Coturnix japonica: one gene and its partners. The protein of the gene in region 6 binds, or shares a complex with, the protein of the main gene of each other region. Links are inferred from orthologs where the notes say so. Each region holds a gene or a part of one and is shown on either strand. Other genes may lie near its edges. The genes, in order: PRPF4, SNRPD3, SNRPF, TSSC4, LSM6, PRPF8 and LSM5.

Region 1 (3,042 bases), on a different chromosome or scaffold from region 6:
ATTTGTGAGACAGCTGAAGGAGCCGGGACATGAGATGTGCACTGAAACATCCTCTGCAAGTGGAAACAAAGGAGATACAGGCCTCTATGAGACCAACCTGCAGAGGAACTGTGGTACGCTCTCCTCTCACAGCTAACTCTGCTTTATTTTCAGAAGACAAAGACTGCTGTTAAAGCATCCTGGAAAACAAGGTAAGAAAACAGAGGACGTACAACACAGTACATGAAGTGCTGTGTGAGCCCTGCACTAGTGCGAAACAGACCAGAGCAAACACATGAGCCTGTCTTGGAAGGGAGGTGGAAGAAGGTGGTTCATCTCCAAATTACTGCAGAAAACCACTATCTGCAATACAAAACAAGTCCTAAAAAGTGGAAGAACATCATCCCAGCTTTGACTCCAACCAAGCCCTGGTCAGCACAGATGCTTCAAAACCACCTCAGCCAGGAAACCAAGAGCTACTGAGCACAGCCACTGCGATACATGTTGCAACAGCCAATTCCTTTCCTTTTAAAAAAATTTAATATACAAAAACCCAGCTCTTAGTTCTAAGCCATTATTATCGTCTCTGTCCCAGTTCATCATCAGTGCCTCTGAGCTACTCTGCTGTCCACAACTTGAAGGTTCTGTCATAGGAGCACGTTGCTATCAGCTGGCCATCGAGGGAGATGTCCAGTCCCATCACCTTTCCCTCATGACCAGCCAGTGTTTTCAGAGGGGACCAGCCAGGGTGAGTCCAGATCTTGGCAGTGTTATCATAGGCGCCTGTCAGCAGGAAGTTACCGTGATTGGCTGCAGTTGAGGGAAAAAAAGGGAGAAATTAGTTTTGCAAATAAATACATGACAAATCTTCTACCACTACTCACTACTGATCCTCCGGATCCAAGGATGTGATTTTGAGTTGCCCCATTCCCTGCCACCTCAGTAGAGAAAAAGCAGGAACATGGAACATCAGACAGGAGATACTTACGTTCAAATTTCACCCCAGTCACCAGGTTCTGATGGGCAGGAATGGTGTAGATGCACTTTCTCTGCCGGAGGTCCCAGACCTTGCAAGTATTGTCACCACTGCCAGTTGCAACGTGGTATCTGCCAAGGAAGAATGTGTTGGAAGCTGAGCTTTGTACTCAGAGCTCCCACACAACACATGCAAGCTCCTGTCTTACCCATTTGGGGAGAAGTTAAGTCCATAGATCTCCTTCAGGTGGCCTTCCAGAAACATGATACAGCGCCCGGTGCGCAAATCCCACACGCGGCCAAAAGCATCCAGTCCACTGAGAAGAGAAAACCCAAACAGCATCACCCTCCAGACTTCAGCAGCTGACAGAACACCAGTACTGTGGCTTTTGGAATCAGTGAGCAACAAAATCTTGGTAATGTTTCTCATACAGTCCTGATGCAAACAAACTCACCCCGTCCCAGCAAGAGACCCGTCCGTGTGAAAGGCGATGTCATAGACCCCTTTGCTGTGCCCCTCCTGATGGAGAATCTCTTCCTGGGCTTCCAAGTCCCACAGGCGCCACGAGTGATCGTAACTTTATAACAAAGAAAAAAAAGCATTAAAATCTGATCACATAATCCTATTTGAACTGGGCACACACACACCAGCTGTCAGGACATTCACTCTGCCTGGTCCATTGAGCATTAGGAAATCACAGCCAGAAATGAAGCTATAAATTCAGAAACGCAAAGATCCTCAGCACGCTCCTGGGAGAGCAGGGAGCTTCCCCACTTCCACATCAGTGTAGCATCCTTAAAGTTTAAGTGTTGCTCCCTTAGCACTTGAAATCCCCTGAGCAGCAGCAACCATTTCTGCTTCTGGAACTGGACTTTCAGATCACCTTTGTACTGTTTAGCTCCGGTTCAGTCCCCCTCTCCCTCAGCACCACTGTCCTCCTCAGACCACCTCCTGTCCACTGTGTCCAACTGGGTCTCACGTGAGGTGCAGGGAAAGGAAGGCTTTCATGAATCCCAGTGACTGTAAGTAATAGCATCTTAAACAAGCAAAAAAAACCCATCAGAATCCCCTTACCAGGTAGTGCCCAGGAACCTGCCGGAAGGGTGCCACATCACACGTGCCACTCGCATGTTGTGGCCTTCAATATCTGCCACTGGTTCGTCACTGAAAGACACAAGATCAGACACTGGTCAGGGTGGCTGACTCAAGCCAAACCTTTGCAGCTGTGACCACAGTGAGACAGACTTTAATGCAGGCCAGACAAGAAAGTCAGTGTTCTGACTATTGACTCTAAACACTGCTTTCTGCTCACACAGCTGAAGCTCTAAGTGAAAGCCCTTTATCCACATTCATAACCTCAGCAGTAAGTTCTCCTGGAACAATTAGTTTCAAAAACTGACAAGGCCCTTCATTAATCTGAAAGCGTCAACAGCAAAAACTGTCTTTGCTGTCACTACACAGAACATCCCATACTGCAGCAAACTCTGCTATGCTGAAGAAAGCCAGGGCAGGCAGGATAGAGCAAATATTTATTCTCCCAGAGCTATGTGCAGCAGCCTGCAGTGGAAGAGCAGAACAGTACAGAGAATATCTTTGCAGCAGACTAAAGAAATGTGGTCACGTGAGACTAATAAACAACTGTCTTTCTCTGCTCAAGGAGGCTGGGAATTGCACTGGTGTTACAATAACAGGCTGTGTTTGCCAGGAGGAAAGTAAACGTCCATTATTTCATAAGATAAACCCCAAACAACAACACTGCATCTATACATGCCACTCTGACCTTTCAAGGCTCCAGAGTTTGACAGAACCATCAGCTGCACACGAGGCCAAGTTAACATCCTTCTTGTCGAGGGAGACAGTGGCTTTGGGATGGAAGACTATTGCTCCTACGTTGGTGCTGTGTCCTTAAGAGAAAGGAAAATCAAAATCCAAATTACAATTCCACTGGCACCCATTTAAGAATATCAAACACTGAGATTTGCAGCCTTCTAAACACAGTGAAAATTCACCAGATGTGAGTGAAGAGATTTGTATTTAGTTGTGCCCACGTTCAGAGAACCTCATTGGTACTACGTGGTCTGACCAAG
Region 2 (4,108 bases), on a different chromosome or scaffold from region 6:
CTCAGTTTGACTGTTTGCTCTGTAAATGCAGGTGATAACACAACCTTAAAACAACATTAAAAATTCTTCATGAAGAATAACTTCTAACTCTTTAGAGGGTAAATTACAGCAGTATTGAACAAAAAGGAAGCAAGATGATCTTTGAAACTCAATGCATCACACAAAAGTACAAAGAAATCAAATCCATGTCCACTGTTTTCTAGACAACGCACTTTGAAATCCACCTCCAACGTATTTGCCAGCTACAGAAAGAAGCCAGAACTCTATTGTGCCTAAGAGGAGCTCTGTCATATAACAGCAGACAGGGTTTTGTCAGAAACATTTATTAAACAGAAGTTACCAACATATATGTAGACAAGTTAAGAGCCCCTTTAATAATAATAATAAAAAAAAAGCATTTTGGTCAAGACCAAAATTATCTTCGCTTCTGGAAGATGTTGCCACGACCCATACCACGGCCTCTTCCTCTTGCAGCCACTGAAGAAAGAAAACATCAGGGATGACATGAATTTGATGCAACACATTTATCTCAACAAGTGACAAACCAAACATCAATAACTCTCAGTCTCTTCCTTAGAAGCACAGAAGTTAAGCTACAGTATGAGGCCTGGGAAGTGATAAAAGTAAATAGAAGTTTTCTGTGAAAACAACTGTAACTAACAACTACACAGCTTTGCTATTCATAACAGAGTATGCATTAAGAGCAATGAAATAGTAACACACCATTGTTCCTACTTTAAATTGTGTGAATCTGTAGCCAGAGAGATTTAAGACCTCCTGCTCTTCATACAGCGTGACAGAACTCGCTATATTTTGTCAGATGTTACTCCCCCACACATCCTTACTGCATTTGGTAGAGTTAACCAAGGGCTTCAGAGCCCATGATTATTTCTTGATCTTGTTATAACGAGACTGTTCACACAAAAAAGGTATTAAAGAGGATGAACTGCAGAATGGCTAACAGTTACTCATTTAAAAAACTTAAAGTATCAACCAAGTGTACGTATATGTGTGTGTGTGTGTATATATATATGTATGTATAAATATATATATATATATATATAAATATATATATAAATATATATTTTTTAAGCTTAAGAATACTTAGATCATCATACTTTGGGTAATCCAAACAGGCAGCAACCACATTTACAGAAAACCAAAGGTGAAGTTTTACCTAACTCTAGCAAGGCCACTTACTGTTCCTGAACTATCTGCAGTATCAGTATTGTGCATCAGTCTGAGTTTTGACTGCTGTCACTCATTCAGCTTCTTACAGCTCATCTTTGCTTAGTGTTAGGGATGAAAACATCTCAGTTTCTGTACAGCAAAACAGGAAGGTAAAGAGGGAACACCAGACCACAAACACACTGTACCCACCCTGAGCTTTGAGAATAGCTGCTTTTCCTCGGCCAGCTCCAGAGCCCTGGTTCTTATTCTTCATGCTCTTTAGCATAGGAGCGTTCTTCAGCATATCTGGTAAAATGAGAAACCGTATCTTGCTGCCTCTGTACACCTGCTCAAGCTGCGCCACTCGCCCATCCCTGTATGTCACTGTTATGTTGGACATCTGGAAAGTAAAGATCAGACAGTGGTCTCAAACACAGTTTGTTTTAAGTGGCCTTAAACATAGTTTTGTACTCCCACTACTCCTGCTCATGGAATATATATATAGCCAAGATTCAAGTAATAAACTCAAAGCCCTATCAAGCATACAGCCTTCAACTGTTATTGTTATATAAGGCATCTATAACCATTTAAACACAGTCTTAAAGCTTGCTAAAATTTAAGCAAACTCACTATTTTCCCCTCCTCCCCACTTGCTTAATTAGTTTTATTAGTTTTGTTTTCTTATTCAGATAGTTTAAATAAAGTTTTACTGGTCCCAGCTATTAAGGACATTTTTATTTCAACTACAACTTGCATGAAGTTATCAAAATTAAGGCTATTGCAATGCCTTAAAGTCCTCTGCATTAAGCACAGCTCTAAGCTCATAAATTAGAGTTTATTTATTATCAACAGGCAATAAACAAAGAACTGCTGAAGAGAAGGTGCTCACAGAGGAACCAGGAACAGGAAATCCCAATTCTGAGCAATTTGGTGTGCTCAGTAATCTGGAATTCACTTCATTACTGTAAGTGCACAGAGTAAAAGGGCTTTATTTATCCTAAGACTAAAAGTAAAAGGTCTTTAAATCCCGCTGTCAGTCTGCTGAGTGCAACCACTTCCAAACAGATGAGATAAACTTCTTTTACCTGGCAATTCATGTTGTCCTCAGCCTCAATGAGCTTCCCACGATACACCTCCCCAGTGTTGGTCTCGCAGGTCACAATGTGGCCCTCTGCCTCGTGCAGGACTTTAATGGGCACCCCGATGGACATGGCTGCAACACTGCGGCTCTACTCCTGGGACAGAGAGCACAACATAGAAGTGAATAAAGGAAACAAACTCCCAGTCGTTCTGCAGTTCGGCTTTGCCTACAGGAGCCGATTTGCTCCATTGAACAAAGGCCTCAGTGCTTTGGCAATACACGCCTATCCCAAGGCCCGGCCCAAGGCTGAGGGCAGCCCACCCTCTCAGCCCACATCTGCCGCCCTACGAAGCTGCAGGCACATAACAAACCCCCACAACAGACCCACCCCATAACAAACCGACCCTATAACAAACCCCCACCGACACTCACCTCCCACCAACCACCCTAATGGCCGCCGCCTTCCCGCCGTGCACAGAGCCCCGGAATCGGAAGGGCACAGGAGCGGATCCTGCTACTGCTCCTGTCCCTCAGGGTCTCGCTGCCTTATCACGATGGTTCCGCTGCACTTTTGTTCCTCCCGAAGGCAGCTCCCTCCCTCCCAGCTCCGAGCAGCCGCTTCGGGGTCCGCCCCCTCCGCAGCCGGGAGGAGCCGTCGCCGCAGCAGGGCATGGCGCGGCCCTAAGTCCGGCGGGGCGGGTAGTGAGCGGGCGGCCGCCGTCATGAGGAGCCCCCGGGAGCCGGGGGAGCCCCCTCCGCAGGCAGGTCAGTGACAGCTCCGGGGCCTCGGATCGGGGGCGGCCTGTCAAGCACTTGGTGGAGCTGAGAGTGCTCCGCCTTGTTTACAGCCGCGGGTCGGGCCGTGACAGCTCTGTTGGGGGTGGGGATGAGAAGCGGGCAGCGCTGGGCCTGGTTGTTACCTTTGAAGTCATAGTGTATGGAGAACAGGGACATCCACAGTGAGTTGTGGTGTTAGAAGGCCCTGGATGGTAACAGAGAATGGACCTGCTCATAACACAGCTCATAACACACCGCCAATGCTTACATTACTTCCTTCAAGCGGGATTTGAGGGGCTGTTTGTCCTTCTAAAGTATAATCAACATTGCTAACAAACACTGAGTACACCAATGGGTGTGTGCCAGCTTTCAAAGTTATGATTAAACCCAGTGACGTGATTGAGAAAGTGCACCGCGTTGTTGCTGCAATAAGCCGTAACTCAGTGAGAAAACAGTTTAAAACTGCAAGACATTGTCCATAAAGTTTTACATATAAAGCTGTGTTGAAACTGCAGCAGCCCCCAGGATGCTGAATGCTTTTTATCCCCATCTGAAAGCAGAGCTGACTCTGTGTTAGCAAAGGTTTCCAAGGGTCTGTACCAGATCGAAGGTAAAGTCATTAAGAAAAGCCTTTTATGATTAACTCACTTGGATTGTCTTTGAAGTTACAATGCCAAGCGGAAGCACTTCAGTCCATCAAGCAATCTGGGCTTTGCTGAAACTGAAACCACTACTACTGCCTGTAAAGAAATAACAAAGGATGAATTACTGATATTGCAGATTTTCTTGATATAGATTGGGTTTTGTCTCTCTTCTTTGGCCCTTTTACAGATGGTGTCATTTGTGAGCTGTCTTACCTTAAAAAATTACTCACAAAAAGACATGGCAGTAGAAGAGGCTGAAATCCATAGGGCTTGTAAGAAATCACTGCCTAGAGATCCTGGTTGTGTCTGTTTTTTACCCATTTGACCTATGACTTTTTGTTGGCACAGAATACAGAGCTGAGAACAAGCTGAATTGGAATGGTGAAGTACAGAAAAACATTCCCATATAACGACTGACAGCTTTTACATTTTACTC
Region 3 (2,836 bases), on a different chromosome or scaffold from region 6:
CTGAAAGTATACCTGTGTATTTGAGAATAGATGTAAGACAAATGGTCACTGATGAGACAGCGCAAAGTCACACACAAATCCATGAGGTACAGCCATTTGTGTTTTGGCTTGTAGAACCTCTCTCCAGCCTAGAGATGCAAGTAGATCCTTCACAAGGGGAGGCTCTGACTAGCAGCATCAGCAAAGCAATGGTTACCTTTAGGAAATGCTGATAGGTACAGAACAGCTTCGGTTAATGTCAATGGTTGCTCTTAACATTTGAGAAAGCAATTATGTTCCTGCCAAAACTTCAGTTATCTGGATGCCTGATAACAAAGAGTGGCCTGTTGTTAGTGTTTTGTGTGTTCTTTCCATAATACTGCAGATTGAGATCAGGCATTCCCATTCCACAGGCTGTTTTAGCTCTATGAATGCCACTGAAATTCATGACTCTTTATAGCCTCTGGGTGAACTCCCCCCATAGTCAAATACAAGAACAAAATAAACACCTGATGACAACGTTGTGGAAAAGAAAAAAAAAAAAAGAAAAAAAACCCTTTATTTCCAGATATACAAATCATCATTCTCTCATTTCTCCATCTTCTTCCTCTTCTTCCACACCTCTGATGTACAAAACATTATTGCACCTGTAAATAGAATCAAGAGCTCCCTTAGTTGAAATGTCTTAATTTCCCTCGCAAATACAATGTTCACTTCACATGGGAGTTACAGCAGCATTTAGTGCTCCAATACACAGAATCACACAGAATCACAGAATTACCCAGGTTGGAAGGGACCTCAAGGATCATGTAGTTCCAACCCCCCTGTCTGGCAGGGCCACCAAACATACACATTTACTAGATCAGGTTGCCCAGGGCCCCGTCCAACCTGGTCTTGAACACCTCCAAGGACGGGGCATCCACAACCTCACTGGGCAGCCTGTTCCAGGACCTAACCACTCTTCTAGTAAAGAACTTTCCCCTAACATCCAACCTAAATCTTCCCTCTTTCAACTTAAAACACAAGCACATCCCCTAGATCCACCAGCTTCAACAAAGCAGTAACACAAGACACAGAAGTCCCCACAAGACCCCGTTCCCCAGCTCAGGCACCACGATTACCTTATCAAAACTTCTCCCAGGTGTCCAGACAGTGCTCCATCGATGTACTCTTCTGTGTTTGCAAGCTTGGAACGAAAATCAGCACAAACATTACACCAACAGGAGCCTCACTACTGCTTCCCTCCCACAAGCAAGCAAGGCCCGGGTCCCTCCCTCCATCCCTCACCTGCATGTTCATGTAGCCGTCGACGGAGACGAGGTATCCCTTGTACTCCATCCCCCACTTCAGCTTCACCATCACCGGTTTCCCCGTCAGCCCGTTGAGGAAGGGCTTCGGGTTGAGCGGCAGGCTCTAGGGGAGAGCAATGGTCAGCACCGCCCGCCATCCCAACCGCTAACGACAGCCTCCCCCCACCCTGCCCTGCCCTGCCCTCACCATGGCGATGGGGCGCGATGGCGGCCCGAGAAGCGCAGAGCCAGGCGGGATCGCCTCGTGCGCGCCGCGGGCTGAGGCAGAATGGAAGGCAGCGCTGAGATACCTTCCACTTCCACTTCCGTGCCGCCGCGCCGACCTCCAACCTCTCACCCCGCCGCGCCGCCTTCGCGATTGGCTACGGAGCCACGGAGCGCGAAGGGAAAAGGGGTTGTGGGCTCAATCTTATTAGTTGGAATGGCCGCCCTCCTCATTGCTCCAGCCAATGGTCGTATACCACCTCTGGTTGTGTCGTCTGTGGTGGCCGGGGGGTGGCAGCGCAGCACTGTGCCGCCGCTCTGCTCTGTTAGGCCTTTGCCCCTCCATCCCTCTCCTCCCCTTCCCTGTCCACCTCTCCCTCAGCCCCCGGCTGCCTCACACCGTGTCTTCTGCAGATCCAGAATGTCCCCCCTCACATCCCTACCTTTATGGATGGATAGGATAAGAGCAGCAATTACGATTCTTCTTAATAAATGTTTATCTGAAGTGCACTCGTATTTGTTTCTGTGATAATTTATAATGGATGTGTTTGTCCTCATGTGTTGGCTGGGGAACAGAGATAACGTTAAAATAAAGCTTTTTTTTTTCTTTCTGACAGTAAAACTCACTGGGCGCCAGTTGAAAGAGAATTGCTTATAAGTTTATTGCAAGGAAGTTAGTGCTGAGGATATGTAGGAAATAATAAACAATGTGGGAAATCGTGTATATGGACGGTTTTCATGCCCCTTGCAGCAAAGAATAGAGAACTTGGAGTGAAAACATACAAGGCGTCAGAATGCAATGAGCTCAGCATGAGTCCTTTGGGTTAAAGGCCATGGAAGACTTGCACTTTTCTGACAGTTGTTAATGGTGTATATGTGAATGACAATAGAACAATATGAGTGTTTTGTCTGTAAACAGCACTTTTTAGGTTTGGAACCAACTTTTATCATGTCTCCTACTTGTGTTGGGAAAGCTGTGTACCAAGAAGTACAGGACCAGCTACATTCTTTTCTTCATATAGTCAGTTCCTCTGATGCATGACTTGGAGAAGGACTTGGGGGTCCTGGTGGATGAGAAGCTGGATGTGAACCAGCAGTGTGTGCTTGCAGCCTGGAAGGCCAATGGTGTGCTGGGCTGCATTAAAAAGGGGTGGCCATCAGGGAGAGGGAGGTGATCGTCCCCCTCTGCTCAGCTCTTGTGATGCCCCATCTGCAGTACTGTGCCCAGACCTGGAGCCGTCATCACAAGAAAGCTGTGGAACTCTTGGAATGGGTCCATAAGAGGGTCACTAAGATGATCATAGGGGTGGAGCACCTCTCCTATGAAGAAAGGTTGGGGGAAT
Region 4 (4,298 bases), on a different chromosome or scaffold from region 6:
TCAACTGCGCAATGAAAATCACACGTATGACCATCACTCTGGGACAGGCCTGATAATGATTACTGCTATATCACAGTACATTGCTGTGGAACAGATGCACATTAATATTAAAGACTTCCACAAAATTCAGTACAAGAATGCAAAGTAATTATAAATAGTGATGCACTGAATTTCACTGAAGGTAACAGCAAGACCAATTGCTAAATGATGAGCATAAGTTTTTTGAATATAACTGTTCCACATATCTTCTTCCAAGAACAGCAGTGACTCTCCAAAGTACACCGTTCATTTACCCATACCATATAAATCCATAAAAACAAATCCTAATCTCTTTTGTCTGTTGCAATTCTTCATTGCCAATTCACATCCGTCCCCAATCATATTCTACGTATTAAAAAGGGCCCTGCTGCTGATCAAGGAATGTGTCAGAACAGCCTGTAATGTCTCAGAGCTACAGTTCTGTGTCAGCTTTAAACTGACAAAGTACAAGGTGCACTCCTTCCTTGGCTTTAAGCTTTTACGTTATTACTAGATAGTTGCAATCACATGATAAGTGAGCGTGAGAAATGAATTGAGACAGATTATGAAAAATAATTGCATATGCCATGCTTGTGTGAGCACACTGGAAACAAGGGGAGGGTGCAAGCAATGGTCAGCAAGAGCTGCCCATTTGGTCAATCAAAAGACACAGTGACCTGAACCCTGAGTTCCAGTACAGTACAGGCTGAAACACCACTGCTTGTTGGGCAGTCAAAAATAGACTTGGCAAAAATACACTTCAGTTCAGCTCTCCAAAACGTGAATTAGGGAAAGTGTTCTCATTTACTATTAGGTTAAGTTAAACTACACAATTATAGGTTCTTCTGAAAAGCCGCAGTAAACAGACATGGAAAGTGTGCTGGTCACTCACTTTCTCCTGAGACTGAGTCAGCTTCCCCTCCTGAGGGTCAGTTAAAGCCACCAAAGATCTCAGCACTTCCACCCTAGAAAACAAACATTTCCATCAAGATACTGGAAATGTAGTTTTAAAAAGAGTTTTGAAAATAATTCTTTCTCCCTGAGTCACCCAAAGCTACAGAGCAGAGTTCTAAATCTGACACAAGCTCAAGCTTGCATAAAAAAGTCTTCAGATAATCCTGAATACTAGCAAAAGAACAGCACAAACCTAATAGGACAGGCTCCACCACAGTTACTCAGTCTCCACATTCACAAAGCCAAGTCTTATTCTCTACAACAGAAGAGAGGCTTTAAAAAAAAACAAAACAAAGCTGTAATTTACACATGCAGTAAACTATTAGTAAATGTACTGTGTTAACTGCAGCCAAGAAGGTACCAGATATGCACTGCAGGTACTACATGCCAATAGGAAAGAGACCCAGGACACCACAGAGATGCCTGCAAAGAAAGGTTGTATTCACCACTGGGGACAGATCTGCATGAGGAATTAGTATGTGGAGAAGCTTGCAAAGAACTGAATGGCCTGAATGCTGTGTTCTGTGTAGTCTGGCTGTGTTTTGACACCGTTGCTTTTGAAACGTGGCCTCTAGTGCAACCCCCAAATGCAAAATAATCATTTGAAGATCCTGCACCTTTCTCTTTAGTTTTATAACACATGAAAGAAACGAGTGCAACTCAAAAGAAACACCAAAAAGCAGGGCTGAGCAAAACAGATGTTTCAGGCTATGAATGAGGGCACCTCTTTGCTAAGAGCATTTGTACAGAAAGGGAAAACGTTGCTACTGGAAGAATAATTTAACAGTGTTAATACCAAACACGCAGATGCTGACAACACACCAGACAAACTCACACGTTCATTACAGCAACGTGGGCACTGCACAGCACACACAGGCCCGTGTCTCTCTGGCTGCCACGTTCTCCATCAGCCTCTCCCATCCTGGCCTTGCTCTGCTGGCTCTGCTCACCCTCCTGCAGCTGGGAGGCAAACACAGAGCTCCGTCACCCCAAATCTCGACCCCATTCTCATCGCACAGACAGCACTACGACACAACCCACCGCCGCACCCTGCACCATGGGCCCATATACCGCATTCCTTGCCAACCTAGGACCCAGCTCCCCGGACCGGGATCCCCCCCCCTCCCCGCTCACACCCAGCACCGAATAAACGCCCCATACCCCAAAGCCGCGCAAGCCCGGAGGAAGGTGGAGGTGGGGAAGTGCAGGAAGCAGAAGTACAACCCTGCTTCCCGTTAGCGTCACCTCGCTTTGCATCCTGAGAGTTGTAGTTGTCTGCGCTTTCCCCGTTGGGGGCCATTTTGAGAGCGACGCGGCCGGACTACAGCTCCCAGGAGCTCGCCCTCCATTTTGCAGACTGTGAAGCTGTCGGGGGTGGCCCCTCCTCATCCAAACCGCGTGGAAAAAACAAGTCAGGCGTTGGTTTTTTCCTCATCTCTTGGGCTTGGCAGCAGCGAGCGGTTCAGAGGAAGCGTGGAGTTTTTATTTGCATGTACTTTATAACCAGAAAGCCTTCAGTCACTGGGGTGTGAGACAAGTGTCCGGCCAAAAGCAAGTTTCCATCCTCTGTCCCAAAAGAACATTTTTTTGTTCATGTGTCAAGATGTGGAATTCTGTCGGAACATGTTTTATTGGTGTTGGCTGAGGCCATCTGGTTCTTTTCCCCCTTCTTCAGCTAAAAGCTTTAAGTTCTAAAGCAGAGGCTCTAGAGGTGTTTCCCCATTTGGTAAGCCTTTCCTTAAACATATATACATGTACAGCGGAGACACAGGCAGATGGATTCCTGTCTGGAGGGAAGAGAGAGGAAAGCAGGGTCCTTTGGCGTGTGAGCAGAAACAGGAGTCACAGGCAAAGACAGGCAATGGGCAGGGGAGACACAGACAGTGGCTGAGGGCTGAGCCTGCTGCATAATGCTGTCTGGGCATACCAGCAGCAGGCAGGGAAAGGATGTGCATTAAGCGTGGTCATGCCCTATTTTTGTAAGGGTGGAGGCAAGCAGCATAAGCCATGGATCTGGGGTTGGGCTTTTCTTTGTCAGGATGCAGCTGATGGCTAAGGTTACTACATCAGCTGTCTGTATCCTTTTACTCCTTTCCTGTCGCTGTGCAGAAGGTGAGTCTCACACACTGCAGAGAACTGGGGATGAGCTGTTCTTTGCTGACTGCAGACAAGGCAATTCACGATGGTGAATGTGCTGTTGTGTTGGGATTTTTGCTATTGCTTGGTGACAGCTGAAATAAAAATAATGAGTCAGATCCTAAAGAAGAACAGATGGTAAAGCCTAGCCCTAGCCAGCGTGAACTAAGATGGCTTGAAGAGGGGTGCGGGACTCGACATGGCTCTGTGTGCCATCACAGGACATCTTCCAAACAAGTACACTATGCCTGGGGCAGGCTTAGCTCTTGTGCAGAGATTGCCCTGTGCCTCTGCAGGGAGCAGTGCGTCTCCGTTCAGCCCTGCTGCTGGGAGCCTTGTGTTCCTTTCTTGCACATAAATCTGCTGTTGGCCCCTATCCGGTGACTGTTTCCGCTGCTCAATTGGCAGGCTCCAGCCCCAGCCTATGCACTGAAGGCTTCTGCACTTGGAGCCTGGGAGAGGCTGCCTGTCCTTCTCTTCATGGCTGTAGGAAACTGGCAGGCAATTCCCCGGCAGCCACTGTGATACTGAAGGCCAAGCACAGCGATCCAATGTATTTTCTCCATCTCATGCGCCCAGAACAACTGTGGACATGAGTCTGGTATGGCCATGCTCAGCTTGATGCCAGAGTTCATGAGGGGAAGTAGGGAAGGAAAGGAGCATTTTCCTGTAGGTAAAAATCTCAAGCACAGCGTTGCACAGCACATCCTCCTCTGCTGGAAGACTGCAGTTGCACCGAGCCAGAATGAGTAAAGGCTGGGGGAAATAATCACCTGACCTCTCCCATTTACAAGAAGGAAAGCCTATAAATATCCTTGAAACCCAGTGGGATGTTTCCAGGATTTGGTGCTTAACACTGCCTTTCTCCTACATCAGTTTTTGCTTACCTGTTTTACTTTATGCTTTCTTTTGGCTCTGGCTCACATGCAAGCAGGTTTGACTTATTCCAGTGCTGTGTACTCACATTGGAGTTTTCATCCTGCTAAGTGAGCAATGAAAAAATCAACTCATGTGGAGGGAATATATTTAATGAAGACAGGTATCAACCTGACTCTTCCCAATGACAAAGTTACTGCCAACCTGTAGGGAGAACCTGCAGTTGTTTTCTGTTAGGGACACTGCATGTGTAAGACAGGATTTGCCTGGCCTCGCACCACCACATTTTGGGTGCTCTGTTTGAACATGAGCGG
Region 5 (4,123 bases), on a different chromosome or scaffold from region 6:
TGAACAGAACTCATCCAGGTCTGAGGAAAAGCACAGGCACTGAAAAGAAGCGCTGTAAAAAGTACATACAGCACAAGAAGGAGGAGTTACCATTATTTCCTCGGATAAATGCATCCCCATACTTGTTCTTTAACTGTCCATTTACGTATTCTTCTGTCTGTTCCAGAGCTATATTCATATAGCCATCCAGGCAAGCCAGGACACCTAAAGAGAGTGATAGTTTAAAAGTGAATCAACTTTAGCTTATTTCTGAACTAAACAAAACGGCTTTGCATTTGAACAGTACAAGGAAAAAAATTGTATCTTCATAGCAAACTAAACTTCCAAATGTGGTCAGGTGAGTCAGTCAGCAGCCCAGAGAGCATTAAAGGAACTAAACTGAGAGTAGGGAACTCCAGGTCCTGTACATGACTGGGTGGGGAGAACTCACTGAGACGTGACTTTGAAAGAGAACATCTTCCATTCTGAAAGTTTAGTTGTTGCTTTTTACTTTTGTTTTATGCCCAACTCCTGAGAAGAACCTGTGACATAAAGTGTAACTGGGCAGCCTAAGAACAAGGCTACAAGCTGAGTTTTGACCAAAGCTCATCAAGGATATATGTGAGAAATAACCCTTCTAATACAGGACACCACGCACATTTTTCTGATTTATTTTCCAGAAACTGGAGCACAGGAAGTTCTGCACGGATGTGCACAAGAATTTGTTTACGGTGAGGGTGACAGAGCACTGGAACAGGCTGCCCACGGAGCTTGTGGAGTCTCCTTCTCTGGAGATATTCAAGACCCGCCTGGACGCCTACCTGTGTGACGTGGTGTAGGGAGCCTGCTTTGGCAGGGGGTTGGACTCGATGATCTCTACAGGTCCCTTCCAACCCCTACAATTCTGTGATTCTGTGATTTTCATTCTTATAGACAGAATAACATGGGCTGCCAGCGTGATTTCTGTGTAAATCAATTCTACATCTTCAACGGGGAAAGGGTTTTCATATGACACTGAAATCTTCAGCCAAATTTAAGTGATGTACAAACAGAACATTTACATAGTGAACTAAATGTGGGGATTAACGGATGTGAAGAACTGCTCAGAAAATGCAATACGTACACAATGCAATTTGCTAATTGCATACATAAAACAACTTCTAACAAGCTGCTCATCTCCATCTTGTTTGTGTGTGTTTCCTGACTTCCTCCTTGCACACAGACACCACTATTAAAAATACAACTACCAAAATGGACAAGAATCTAATTTACCTGCTATTAAAACTGAAGACATGCAGTACATTGGCTGTATTTGAGGAGGGGGAGAACTCCAGTCTGAGAATCTTCCTCCAGGGTATGTTCTCATTTTCCAGAAGCGTTACTGTAATATCCTCCATTAAATAATTAGGAATTCAAGTTTTCTTGCCAACTTGTAATGGCTTGAGGATTGGTATTTTCCTGTATGTGTTTTTCATCCCTGTTTCCACATAAATGGGGAAATTCTGTCTGGCCACAAAGTGTTTTAAATACACCAAAACCTTCCAAGCCAAGTCAGTGACAACATTTTCACACCAGTAATCCTGAGTGCTTCAAGATGCCACAGAAAACAAATGTTTGCCCCAAGCTGAAGTTGGGCTGTGGGGTTTTTTTTTAAGCTATCACTCAACTGGCCAGGGTGCATCTTCATTTCTTTCATTGTTGTCTTTCTTTTCTTTGTATTTACTCCCAGAATACTAATAGCATCACATACTGTTGCTGCCCACCCTGGCTCATATTTTGCCTGTTTTTTATCAGTATGCAGCAATGTTTTTACATTCATATCCATCTGTACAACTGATTACACGTGCACTTTGCCAGGACTTCTTAGATGAGTACAGCGCTTGGCAGTGAACCAAGACATTTTACAGCTGCACACCAACGTGAGAACCAGGCAGCTGCTGTGCTCACAGTGGCTGGGAGGGTGGAGGTGCAAACATAAAATGAGAAGGGTAGCCTACAGGCAGAATCTGAAGAGATCTGCAACAAAAGCCTGAGATGCTGGGTTTCCTGATGTTTGGTTTATACAAGTGATCGAATTTCTGTAGAGAAATGAAGTGTGCATTTCTCAAATGTAAGCACCAGGAGGGAGTTAGGGAGAATGGAGGGAAACAAAGAAAGGAAAATAACTCCTGTATGACATTGGGCTGGTGTCCAAACACCAAGATTCCTTGTCAAAGGACAAACGAGCACTAAGATGAGCCAACTGAATTAAACCTACCTGAAGTAGCGATGTCTGGCATGATCATAACGTTTAAATCATCCCAGAATAAAACACCTGTCTCCTCATGGGAGAGGCATGATAAGAGCATCCAAACTTAACGAAGACTGAGATAAAGAAATAATTGTAGAGGCTGAGCTATTGGAGAGGCTCAGCCTAAAGGGAGCAGGACATCTCACTGCACAGACAAGGTGGAATCTTACCTCGATAATCGACTCCAGAATTTAACTTTACAACAACAGGCCTTCCAATGATCTGCTTTAGGAAGTCACTGGGAGTTTGCTTCCGTAGGCTCATCTTGATTTGTGTCGGTACGCTGGGAATAGATGTGAAAGCCGATATATGGATAAGCAGCACATCCCACCCTGCAGGCATTGAAGGCCAGGCTGGATGGGGATGCGAACAACCCGGTTTAGAGGGAGGCGTCCCTGCCTACAGCAGGGGGCTGGAAGTGGATGGGCTTAAAGGTCCCTCCGCACCGCTCCCCGCACCGAGGCACAGCCCGGCCCGCACCCCGCCGCCCGGTGCCCCATTGCGGCCGGGCCGAGACACAACGCCGCTCACACTCACCCGCTGCTACGCGCGCCCGGCCCCGCGTTCGCGGCCAATCAGCGGCGGGCGGTACGGCGCGGCGGCAGGGACACGGCGGGACGGGCGCGCTCGCTAAAGCGGGGCGGGTTGTGGCTGCACTGAGTAGCGCCGCCTCTATCGCTGCAGGGAGGAGCTGGATGGGATCACCTGCTGCCAAAGGACGGGGAGCAGCTTTCTGCTTCTGCACCCAGCTGTGGCCTGACCTCTGCAAAACCTCATCTGTGTCCGTTTTAAACTTATCTTTATAGTTTCTGTCTATTTTTATCGTTTCTGTCTATGGATACTTGGTTCATTGATGCCAGTCAACAAAATCCTTCTAATTTCCTTTTTAGTCCTAAATTTACAAACATATGTATTCCGAAAGACTGAAATAGAGATGGACAACGTTGTATCCTTAGCTCGCCACTTCTATGGCTTGAGGCTGAGCCATGAACCCACACCTTAGCAAATTTGTCCTGGTTTTCTGTATAAGCCTTGAAACAGTCTTCCATGCTGTACTGAGTAAATGAACCTCTGTGCAATAGGACACATTGCTGAGCATGTTGGTGTAGTGGGTTTTGCATTGGGAAAGAAAATTTCTCTCTTGCTTATTCACAAAGATTATATAATGTAATCACAACTGTAAATACACAACCTAAAGAATGTGTTGTTTCCTGAGTCACACAATCCCAGTGCTCAGGTAGGTGGTTTTCAAAGGAATTATGTAATCCATTCTGTAGACTCCTCGCAGATTTCAAAGCTTCGAGTGTGAAAAAATGAGACCCACTGTTTAATGGTTCTTCTTTTTGCTTCAGTCATCTAGATGAAAAAGGATTTGGGTCTAAAACTTTGCATGCGTTGCTATCAGTACATTCTTTAAAATATGGCATTGCTTTATCGTTCCACAAAGCAGAGAGCATTTTTCCAGCTGTATAAAACTCATTGAAATCAGTGACATTCTGCCCGTGTGTTTTAATCAAGATGAACTTGAAAGGTGAACATTGTAAGTGGTAGAAATTATTTATAATTTGGTAATAAAAGTTTATGTCTAACACTTCCAAACTTCATACATCTGCTATGTGCCAGCCTTGAGATATAGAACAATTGTGATTGCCTTTACATTTGGCCTCAGATGAAAGGTCATAAATTACAATGGGAGTTTTCAGTCCTTCGCAGCTCACAAAGTTTCCATTATAGCTTCTTCACCTCAAACATAAATGGTGACAAAGTTCTAACATGAAGAGTTGCTGTGGCCTTTACCAGCTGAACTTAATGATGGAAGCTGGGGGCTCGTCTACTATTGCTAAGTCTTGAATG
Region 6 (4,264 bases):
AGTGAGCAGCTGATTAGCCAGTCGATACAGCGTGGACATCATAGGCAGAGTGAACTGCCAGCGCTGGTAGGTAGAACCATTCACATACCTGCAGAGAAACAAAGCATAGGACACTAATTTTGCAGCCACAAAACAACTGGTCTTCTACCTTTCTGCTATTTGCAGAAAATACGAAGGATAGATAACTCTTGTCCCTCTCCAGGCAGAAAAATAAAATGTACAGGCTTGTTGAAGATCTCCATGGACTACATCTGCCAGTTCCCCTCCATCTCCATTATCAAACTGACAAGATTCAAGAGCCTCCAGTTTGTAAACGCACTGTATATTTAATAAACTCAAATAAAAGCTAGATGATCCAGGTTTTCACTCTTATCATGTGTCAAGAAACATCAGTTTTACCAGTTACCCATGCAGTAACCTGCCTGGACAGAGAGGGATTGATTGCCTTCCCTCAGCACTGAAGACAGAGGGATGACTACAGCAGTCAGATTCTCCCTCCTATCCTTGAAAGAAGGTTTTCTCATCCCACCAACACCATGCATAGACCAATATTATATAAGCAAAAGTTATGCACTTTTACATACATTTAATTTATGTAGTGCATGAAGATTTTAGTGCTTATTTTCTTAAAGCCCCACAGTGAATTGTGTTACCAGGCAGGCACATACTTCCTGTTGTCTTTCAGTGGCTGGTGGTCGTAGAACCAGTCCAGTACTGGGGCATCTTCCTCCGGATCCAGCTCAAGCTGAATTGCTTCCAAAGGCTCCACATCGAGAATGTTATCAGCATAATCCAGAGGAGGTTCTTCATCATCAAATGGGGGAAATCTCATTCTCTTGAAGTGACGTCTGTCCCTCTTCTCTCGCCTCATCATAATCCACATGGACCTGGCAGAAACCAGAGACCATTACATTACATGCTGCCTTTATTGTGGATGTGTGGTTATTCACTCATTGTGTCCCCCCAGAGTTAAGTAAAAAGCACTTACCCCCATTGTGCAATGTACACTGGTTCTATAACCCAGGGAATCTCATTGACAAAAGAGATGGCTCCTGTGATGTGATACAGGACTGGAACATCTCTGATTTGCTCCCAGGGCATAGGCATGTTCTCCAAGAGCTTCAGAACAGCGTGAGGCATGTACTTCAAAGCACTACAACCAGAAATCAGGGAAAATTACAGCTGGAAGGCATCGCCAGAGAACAATTACCTGTCTGCAGCAAGTTCAGTTACCTGTATACCTCCCACTCATAAAACTGCTCAGCTAACCTGCACATAAAGGCCTTCTGTGATGAACCCACAAGCCTTCTTAACTATCCTTCTGCTTCAGATTCCACTACCAAAAGGCTTTTCCTACTGGTTGGCTTCAGAGAGATTGCTATGCATTAAAAACATTCAGTAATAATAATACTAAAAAACACCGAATGAGTTTTTATGGGTAACTACATGAACGCAACAGACCCTGCTTTACACAAGACAGTTCTCTGAGCACAAACAACACAGAGACACCCACACGACACTTTAATCACAGGGAAAAAAGGCTGATTAGGTCACAATCTCCCCCCAAAACCTCTTCTAAATGATATTTTGCCTTAAGAACTCCAAGCAAACACTTCATCATCTCATCCTCTCCTGCACCCCACTGCCACCCTTGTGCTGTGATGCTGCTGTCTGAGCTCAGCTGTCCCCAGAGCCCCATTCTGAAGGCACCGCTCCTCATGGGGAGCTCCGTACCCCAGATAGACCCGTTTATCGTGGCGGAACTTCCTGTTGGTCATATCGCCGTGATCGCGGATGATCTTCCTGACGTGCTCGGGGGGCATGTCCTCCTTCTGAGCGTCCACGAAGCCGAATTTCCTCTTCTCGGCATAGCGCTTGGCCTGCAGCTGCTGCCACTTGCGGGCTGCGGGGACACAGAAGTAACGGGATGAGGTGAGGCCGGTCCCGTTGGGCGCGGTGCGATGGATCCAGGCCGTACTCACCTTTCTCCTGCAGCTTCTCCTCAGACATGTAGTCAGGTAGCGGGGCCATCGGGGTCGGTACCGGCGCGCAGCCGCCGCGGTACGGGAAGACGGCGGCCATGACGACACACCTGTGGAGGAGGAATCACAGAATGACCCGGGTTGGAAGGGACCTCAAGGATCATGTAGTTCCAACCCCCTGCCTGGCAGGGCCACCAAACATACACCTTTACTAGATCAGGTTGCCCATGGCCCCGTCCAACCTGGCCTTGAACACCTCCAAGGACGGGGCATCCACAACCTCCCTGTGCAGCCTGTTCCAGGGCCTCACCACTCTCCTAGTGAAGAACTTCCCCCTGACATCCAACCTAAATCTTCCCTCTTTTAACTTCAAACCATTTCCCCGTGTCCTGCTACTGTCAGCCCTTTCCAAGAGTTTACTCCCCTCCTGGTTACAGGTTCCCTTCAGGTATTGAAAGGCTGCAATGAGGTCACCCCGCAACCTTCTCTTCTCCAGGCTGAACAAACCCAACTCCCTCAGCCTGTCCTCATAGGGGAGGTGCTCCAGCCCCCTGATCATCTTCCTGTCCCTCCTCTGGACCCTGCCCAAAATCTCCATAGAGATTTGAGGAACAAGGGGCTCAAACCGGGATCACGGCTCCCTCCTCCCCCCTCCCGGTCCCTTCCACATCCCCGCGGCCCGGCCCCCCCCGCACACACCGGTCGCTGCGACGTCCCGCACTCCCGCACCACAATGGCGGCGCAGCCCACCACCACCGCGCCTGAGAGACCCGGATGTGGGTGGGGTGCGCGGCTAGAAGGCTCGTCCAATCAGCTTTCGGGGCAGCCTCACAGACAGCGGGGATAGCCAATCAGAGCGCGGGGAGGGCAGGAGGCGGGATCAAGTGCGGAAGAGGAAAGGAAGCTGTGTTTAGAGTACACTACCGGTTGAATGCCTATTCATTTCCGGTCCCGCCCTCTGCCGATTTTGATTGGTGGAGAGGGATAGCGGTGACAGCTCGACGCCGGCTCTGATTGGACAATCAGATACCGTAGCTATGGGGCCTAAGAGGCCTAAGGGGCAGATATGGCTGTCCCAGCTATGGGCCCTAAGGGGCAGATATGGCTGTATGGGGGTTTCCTCAGGCAGCCTCCCCTTTGTACATGGGTATCCCTTGTGAGAGAGAGAGAGAGGCCCCATCTCTGTCCCCACAGGTTCCCATCCCAAAGCTGGGCCCTGTATCCTTCAGTTTGGACACACAAGCCATACCCACAATGTGTTCCTATACAGCAGGCTGTATGGAGCCAGCACTGTGAGACATCCCTTAGGGCTCAGAACAACGTCCCCAGTGTGTGGCAATGGTGTGACAGCAGGAACGTGGTGACAATGGCAGCCTTGAGCAGCAGTGGCTGTGTGGGCACAGAGCTGCTGATAGAGGCACCCCCAGCAGCTCCACAGCCTTCAAAAGCAAATTGGGTGTAAAAAGTCCTTTCCCTTTAAAGCCTTGAGCTGATTTGTTTGCTGTTTATTGAAAGCCTGTGTTAGTAAGAGCTGCTGCTGCTGCTTGAGAGCGTTACACCAAGACTTCTGGTTCCTCATAGATGCCCATATCTAACCCATGTGAAACATCCCATTCACAGGAAGCAACTATCACACACCATCATCCTGACCTGCAGCTCACGTGCTCCCACACTCACTTATAGGGAGTTAATAGATCTGGGAACAAAATAACACTAGAAAAGTTCCAGTTGTCTGAAGTTAGCAGCCTGTCCCCAAGGATGGCACTGAAGCTCCCACTGTCCCTAGTCCAGTGCCAGCAGCATCTGATAAGGACAGGTCCAAACCTTCATCTCTCACCTGGCACAGTCTCCTCTGTGAGGAATTATAGGTGCAGGATTTGGCTTTAACCAGCCCTGGACTGAAGGGCAAAGCCTTGGAGATGCCTGGTGCTGTCCCATGGGAAGTGCCAGAGGTAGAACAGAGTCCCTTAGGCAATAGGACCCTGCAGGGTGCAGCACCTAAGAGGTTAGAAACACACAGTAGTGTTTGCACGTCCAGAAAAGCAAAGGGGAAACAATTCTCCCTGCTCCCTTCTCAGGGCTGCCAGAGCCTTCAGGGCTTCTCTGAGCAGCTCCTGGTTGTTCAACCACATCATCCATAGGTGCTGGAGAGCAGAGCCCCCAGTGTCTGATCCACTAGCACCTCCTCTGCCCAGGATCCACAGCCACAAGTCCAAGCAACACTGAAATAGCCATCCTCACTTCCCACAGCTCTTTCCAGTCCTCCTCCACGAGCTCATAGC
Region 7 (4,075 bases), on a different chromosome or scaffold from region 6:
ACGCATATTTAGCAAAACCCAGCCATGCTTCTGACTGGAGATCCTGCGCCTTTTTTAAGGGCACATGTTACAACTGTGCCATAAAATTACTGAATCTGACTCAAAAGCACCCTGGGTCTTTCTCTTTTGGAAGTGTGCTGTTCATTATTAAGAAAATATAAATGATTTTTATCTTTTTTCCCCTTTACCTTTGTTTACCTTTTTAATATTTCCTTTTATATTTACTCTTAAGTCTTTTATTCACAGGAAAATACTTTGCTGGCTTGTTTCCTACTGTCTATAGAAAGGTTTGGTCTTACATGTATACATATAGCGGCTTTGCTTATCACTAAAAGTCAGGAAGAGCAAAAAAGCTTCTCAGCATAACAATGGTCTGGAGAAGAATCAGTTGAAGAAATGCTTCTTGAAATGCTCTTAAAAACAAACTGTAGAATTTCAAGATTCACCTTGGAATGAGTAACAAGGACAAAAAAATGTATGTTCTTTAGGAACTCCTTTGTTAAAATAATATAAATAATAATAATATAAAATAATTATTTTACCCACACAAGAAGTCAGAACATGCACAATGCATTAAAGATGCAGAACAATAACCGAAGCAAGAAAAGGTTTTGAAATTAAGTCAAAATAGCTTTTACTCAGAAGGGTGAGATAGCAATATGGGGATTATTCCCCATTCACACAGAACAGATAGACTCAAGTCAGCCTTCCACTTGTCTTGTTAACAAAATCATGAACTGCCTTATGCAGGAAGTCCAGATTTTGCACCCATCTGTGCAGGAAAGCAAATGATGTACTGTGAGTCTGCTTTTGTGGTAAAGTATCTACAAAGATGCAGAATTCACTTAGTGATGCTCAACTAACTACAGTATTGTTTCAGTACTGATCTATACACATCAGCGAGTAACAACCAGAAAGTGCTTCTGATTTGTTATAGTCCAACAAAACTCCACCTTATTATTTTTTTCCAGAGCATCCGGCATCACATGATAATGATTAATAATAGTCAAGTAACTTAACAAGCTTATAAGTATCTGAGCTGCTGCAAACACACCTATACATAATGGATGAACTGCAGATGTATCCCAACCCACAGACTTACACAGACACTCATGAGTCAAAAGCCACTTTGTCAACCAAACTCGTCCAAAGATTCCCTCACACACCTTATGAAAACCAAAAAAGCATATACCAAAACTATAGTCATGCCCATGCTCCTCTTTTCATGCATTTTAAACCATAAAATATATGAAATATAGCAATAAGATCACTTTCCCAGCATCATTCATAAACCATATGCCTTAGAAACTACTCAAGTAGTTGAATTCAATCAGATTTACAGGTAAAGAAACACAAGCAGACTATTTACAGTGATGACTTACCATTGTTATATTATTTCCATTTAGCAAAATCTGGTCTAGTTTTGTGATTCTTCTGCCTTCAGGTGTGATCTCACTGAAGCAATATTAGAAAAAAAAATATGAGCATGCAATCATCAACAATGAATAAAGTTCTGATTACAGCACCAATGCAAGTCCACATATTAAGATGACATTTACTGGAAATAACACTGCAACATCATCTTGATGCACTGACCCACTAGGCAGGGAAAGCTACCTGGCAACTAAACAGATTTGCTGTATTTTTTTGTTCAGCATATAAAGACACAGATTTGCCCTCTAAAACTTGGCATTTTTTTCAATAACAATTCAAAACTGCTCAGTTTATAAGTATCTGTGATAGCACAGACCTTATACCGCATTCTTTCTCAGGAAACCCAAGTCTGAATAGCAATGAGAGACAAAAATAATACTTACAATTCTGTAACATCTTCTAACACCATATCTGAAAGCTCAGTTTCAAGGAAAATAAGGCCCAGATTTCTTTTCATAGAACTTGAAGGGACTGTAAAGCCCACCCAGTTCCAAATACAGAGCAACCCCTGCTGCTGGTAGGCTGCACCCACTAGATCAGATTGCCATGGGGCCCATTCAGCCTGGCCTTGTACACCTCCAGCAACAGAAGCATTTGATCATCTTCACAGCCCACCTCTGCAGCTGCTCCAACAGCTCTGCATCCTTCCTGTGCTGGGGGCCTCACAAGGGCAGTATAGAGATGGGCAATTTATTTTACACCAAACTGTGATTTTAGCGATAAAAAAACAAACAAAAACCACTAACGAGCAAAAAACCGATACCAAACAGCTTAATGTTCTTAACAATAAACGAAATGATTTTCCCCATGAAGCTAATGGCCACAGATAACACCCACCAAAGGATACTGACAAAGTCATCAAATCCTAGCAGAGTTCCAACAATTTCCTTATCGCTCTTCATCACGATATGAATGCGAGAACCTATACATTTGTCCACAAGCTCTGTAGATGTTAAAAACAACAAAAGTGCATTAGTGTATTTGCAGGAAATCAATCAGCCCAGAGGTACCCTCCATCATCTCCGACCGACTGGAAACAACAGCAACGCTACACCCGGAGCACGTATTCCCTCAACACGAAGAGGGGTGAATTAATTTTGTTACATCCCGATTTAGTTTCTCGCTCATAGATCCCGATTTAGCCCCTGTTGCAGCCTCTCCCACCCCGGTCACAGCCTCCCTCCCTCCCCGCCCGAGCCCACGCGAGAACCCGCCGGCAGCGCTGCCCACCGAGCGGCAGGAGCTGCGAGGGGTTGGTGCTCGCGTTGGCCGCCATATTGCCGCCAGAGCTGGCCAATGGCTGCCGCCTCCTGAGGAAGTAGAGGCTGTGGCGGGCGGGACGCAGCCCTGAGTAGCGGCAGGCAGAGCGCTCGTTCTACCGCCGTGTTCTCCTTTGGGCTCCGACCGCAATGGGAATTCAGTTCCGCTCCTGTTTATACACACTGCCATGTCAGGTGGCAGCCTGTCTGACTGCCCTTCTGCTGCCATCGGTCACAAGGCAACAAAGTATAATGGAATATAACGGCAGGAAGGTGTAGCCCCTACTGCCATACCAACATCCACCTCTGATGTCATGGGCCAGCATAATAAAACAGGAGGCGTTAGTTTGAGAGCAGCTCTGGTATATATGGCTGAGTTTTTATTGGTATCTATTAGATATACACTGAGAAAGAAAATTCCAGCAGGATTCTTTTATTTCTAAGAGCTTCTGCTTGATTGCAGCTCTACCCTTCCTTCTTATCATTCGCTTGCTAGTTCTGGATTGTTCCTTATAGCCTATCTTTTGCCCCCTAATGTATCTAATTTTAATAAAACCAAGCACTTTCCTATATCAGTTTCATCGCACGCTCCCGCTCGGCGCCCACCGCACAGAGCACAGAGTGGAGGGCGGGGCGGGCCGGGACACAGCGCGGCTGGGGGCAGGGCGAAGGGGAAGAGGGCGGCCCCGCTCCGCCTCCCCTCGCCGGGCTCTGCGGAAGCGCAGTCGGTTGGGGTCCGTCCCTTCGGCCTTCGGCACCAGGAGGCGGAGCGACAGCCCGGCCTGGGCGGTATCCTCCGGAGCGGCCATCGCCGGGCTCCATGGAGAAGCGGGGCGCGCCGCCGGCCGCCCCTCCGCGGGGCCCGGTGTTGCATATCGTGGTAGTGGGCTTCCACCATAAGAAGGGCTGTCAGGTGAGGGGTGTGAGCGCTGGGCCCCGGGAGCGTGCCTCTGGTTCTGGGCTGGGCGCTGCCTGCAGCGGGCTGGGGGCCGGTTACGAGCCCCTTGCTGCGATCCCCCGCCGGTGCGGGCTGTGGGGGGCCCGGGGTCGGGCTGGAGCGGTTCCGCGGGGCTGTCTGGAGGGGACGGGGCCACCCAACAGCTGTGCGTTACCGGCGCTCAGTGTGTCTTCAAGGCCCGCTGTGTTTCGTAGGTATTCTGTGCTCTCGTTGCGTTTCCTCCTTTGCTCTCTAACTAAATCTTGGCGAGGCTGTTGCAGGAATGATTTATTTATTTATTTATTTGAGACTGAGTATATAAAATGCCATTTGATCCAATCAAACGACTGGTATTCAAACTCTTTTCTTCAAGTCTTACATCAAGAATTACATCTGGCATTTAAACTCCTGCAGTCATTCCACGTTCTGTGACTGGGCAGTATCT

The links.
Region 1: PRPF8 (region 6) and PRPF4 share a complex: the UniProt entries of both Homo sapiens proteins name them as parts of the U4/U6-U5 tri-snRNP complex. The link is inferred for Coturnix japonica from reciprocal best matches to the Homo sapiens genes PRPF8 and PRPF4.
Region 2: PRPF8 (region 6) and SNRPD3 share a complex: the UniProt entries of both Homo sapiens proteins name them as parts of the U4/U6-U5 tri-snRNP complex. The link is inferred for Coturnix japonica from reciprocal best matches to the Homo sapiens genes PRPF8 and SNRPD3.
Region 3: PRPF8 (region 6) and SNRPF share a complex: the UniProt entries of both Homo sapiens proteins name them as parts of the U4/U6-U5 tri-snRNP complex. The link is inferred for Coturnix japonica from reciprocal best matches to the Homo sapiens genes PRPF8 and SNRPF.
Region 4: the proteins of PRPF8 (region 6) and TSSC4 are in contact, whole or in part, in a cryo-EM structure (PDB 7PX3), measured with the Homo sapiens proteins. The link is inferred for Coturnix japonica from reciprocal best matches to the Homo sapiens genes PRPF8 and TSSC4. Residues at the interface, in NP_006436.3 of Homo sapiens: Thr2087, Asn2088, His2089, Ile2090, Tyr2091, Val2092, Ser2093, Ser2094, Asp2095, Lys2108, Leu2111, Lys2112, Glu2184, Thr2219, Pro2220, Thr2224, Leu2225, Leu2262, Leu2263; in NP_001284587.1 of Homo sapiens: Pro153, Asp154, Tyr155, Glu160, Arg161, Trp162, Thr163, Lys164, Tyr165, Ser166, Leu167.
Region 5: PRPF8 (region 6) and LSM6 share a complex: the UniProt entries of both Homo sapiens proteins name them as parts of the U4/U6-U5 tri-snRNP complex. The link is inferred for Coturnix japonica from reciprocal best matches to the Homo sapiens genes PRPF8 and LSM6.
Region 7: PRPF8 (region 6) and LSM5 share a complex: the UniProt entries of both Homo sapiens proteins name them as parts of the U4/U6-U5 tri-snRNP complex. The link is inferred for Coturnix japonica from reciprocal best matches to the Homo sapiens genes PRPF8 and LSM5.

The regions. Positions count from the first base shown.
Region 1 is NC_029532.1:810,397-813,438, forward strand, and holds the end of PRPF4 (U4/U6 small nuclear ribonucleoprotein Prp4), read right to left. Parts: intron 2,860-3,042; coding exon 2,736-2,859; intron 2,120-2,735; coding exon 2,030-2,119; intron 1,533-2,029; coding exon 1,410-1,532; intron 1,272-1,409; coding exon 1,164-1,271; intron 1,087-1,163; coding exon 968-1,086; intron 790-967; coding exon 596-789; 3' UTR 501-595; downstream 1-500. UniProt on the Homo sapiens protein: Plays a role in pre-mRNA splicing as component of the U4/U6-U5 tri-snRNP complex that is involved in spliceosome assembly, and as component of the precatalytic spliceosome (spliceosome B complex).
Region 2 is NC_029530.1:7,447,982-7,452,089, forward strand, and holds the start of SNRPD3 (small nuclear ribonucleoprotein Sm D3), read right to left. Parts: upstream 2,801-4,108; 5' UTR 2,684-2,800; intron 2,406-2,683; 5' UTR 2,382-2,405; coding exon 2,256-2,381; intron 1,571-2,255; coding exon 1,381-1,570; intron 478-1,380; coding exon 416-477; 3' UTR 1-415. Other genes in the region: protein GUCD1, read left to right, coding at 2,806-3,016. UniProt on the Homo sapiens protein: Plays a role in pre-mRNA splicing as a core component of the spliceosomal U1, U2, U4 and U5 small nuclear ribonucleoproteins (snRNPs), the building blocks of the spliceosome.
Region 3 is NC_029516.1:41,570,194-41,573,029, reverse strand, and holds SNRPF (small nuclear ribonucleoprotein F), read right to left. Parts: upstream 1,634-2,836; 5' UTR 1,480-1,633; coding exon 1,477-1,479; intron 1,393-1,476; coding exon 1,267-1,392; intron 1,166-1,266; coding exon 1,101-1,165; intron 627-1,100; coding exon 560-626; 3' UTR 501-559; downstream 1-500. UniProt on the Homo sapiens protein: Plays a role in pre-mRNA splicing as a core component of the spliceosomal U1, U2, U4 and U5 small nuclear ribonucleoproteins (snRNPs), the building blocks of the spliceosome.
Region 4 is NC_029520.1:10,938,695-10,942,992, reverse strand, and holds the start of TSSC4 (protein TSSC4), read right to left. Parts: upstream 2,801-4,298; 5' UTR 2,134-2,800; intron 2,122-2,133; exon of another isoform or gene 2,032-2,121; coding exon of another isoform or gene 2,014-2,031; intron 1,933-2,013; coding exon of another isoform or gene 1,808-1,932; intron 1,788-1,807; exon of another isoform or gene 1,769-1,787; intron 1,246-1,768; exon of another isoform or gene 1,166-1,245; intron 984-1,165; coding exon of another isoform or gene 911-983; intron 1-910. UniProt on the Homo sapiens protein: Protein associated with the U5 snRNP, during its maturation and its post-splicing recycling and which is required for spliceosomal tri-snRNP complex assembly in the nucleus.
Region 5 is NC_029519.1:27,572,512-27,576,634, reverse strand, and holds the start of LSM6 (U6 snRNA-associated Sm-like protein LSm6), read right to left. Parts: upstream 2,801-4,123; 5' UTR 2,612-2,800; coding exon 2,440-2,611; intron 205-2,439; coding exon 91-204; intron 1-90. UniProt on the Homo sapiens protein: Plays a role in pre-mRNA splicing as component of the U4/U6-U5 tri-snRNP complex that is involved in spliceosome assembly, and as component of the precatalytic spliceosome (spliceosome B complex).
Region 6 is NC_029534.1:4,156,542-4,160,805, forward strand, and holds the start of PRPF8 (pre-mRNA-processing-splicing factor 8), read right to left. Parts: upstream 2,801-4,264; 5' UTR 2,682-2,800; intron 2,093-2,681; 5' UTR 2,083-2,092; coding exon 1,983-2,082; intron 1,904-1,982; coding exon 1,735-1,903; intron 1,154-1,734; coding exon 989-1,153; intron 888-988; coding exon 669-887; intron 89-668; coding exon 1-88. UniProt on the Homo sapiens protein: Plays a role in pre-mRNA splicing as core component of precatalytic, catalytic and postcatalytic spliceosomal complexes, both of the predominant U2-type spliceosome and the minor U12-type spliceosome.
Region 7 is NC_029517.1:78,884,433-78,888,507, reverse strand, and holds the start of LSM5 (U6 snRNA-associated Sm-like protein LSm5), read right to left. Parts: upstream 2,801-4,075; 5' UTR 2,711-2,800; coding exon 2,665-2,710; intron 2,378-2,664; coding exon 2,282-2,377; intron 1,846-2,281; coding exon 1,818-1,845; intron 1,456-1,817; coding exon 1,383-1,455; intron 1-1,382. Other genes in the region: late secretory pathway protein AVL9 homolog, read left to right, coding at 3,514-3,606. UniProt on the Homo sapiens protein: Plays a role in pre-mRNA splicing as component of the U4/U6-U5 tri-snRNP complex that is involved in spliceosome assembly, and as component of the precatalytic spliceosome (spliceosome B complex).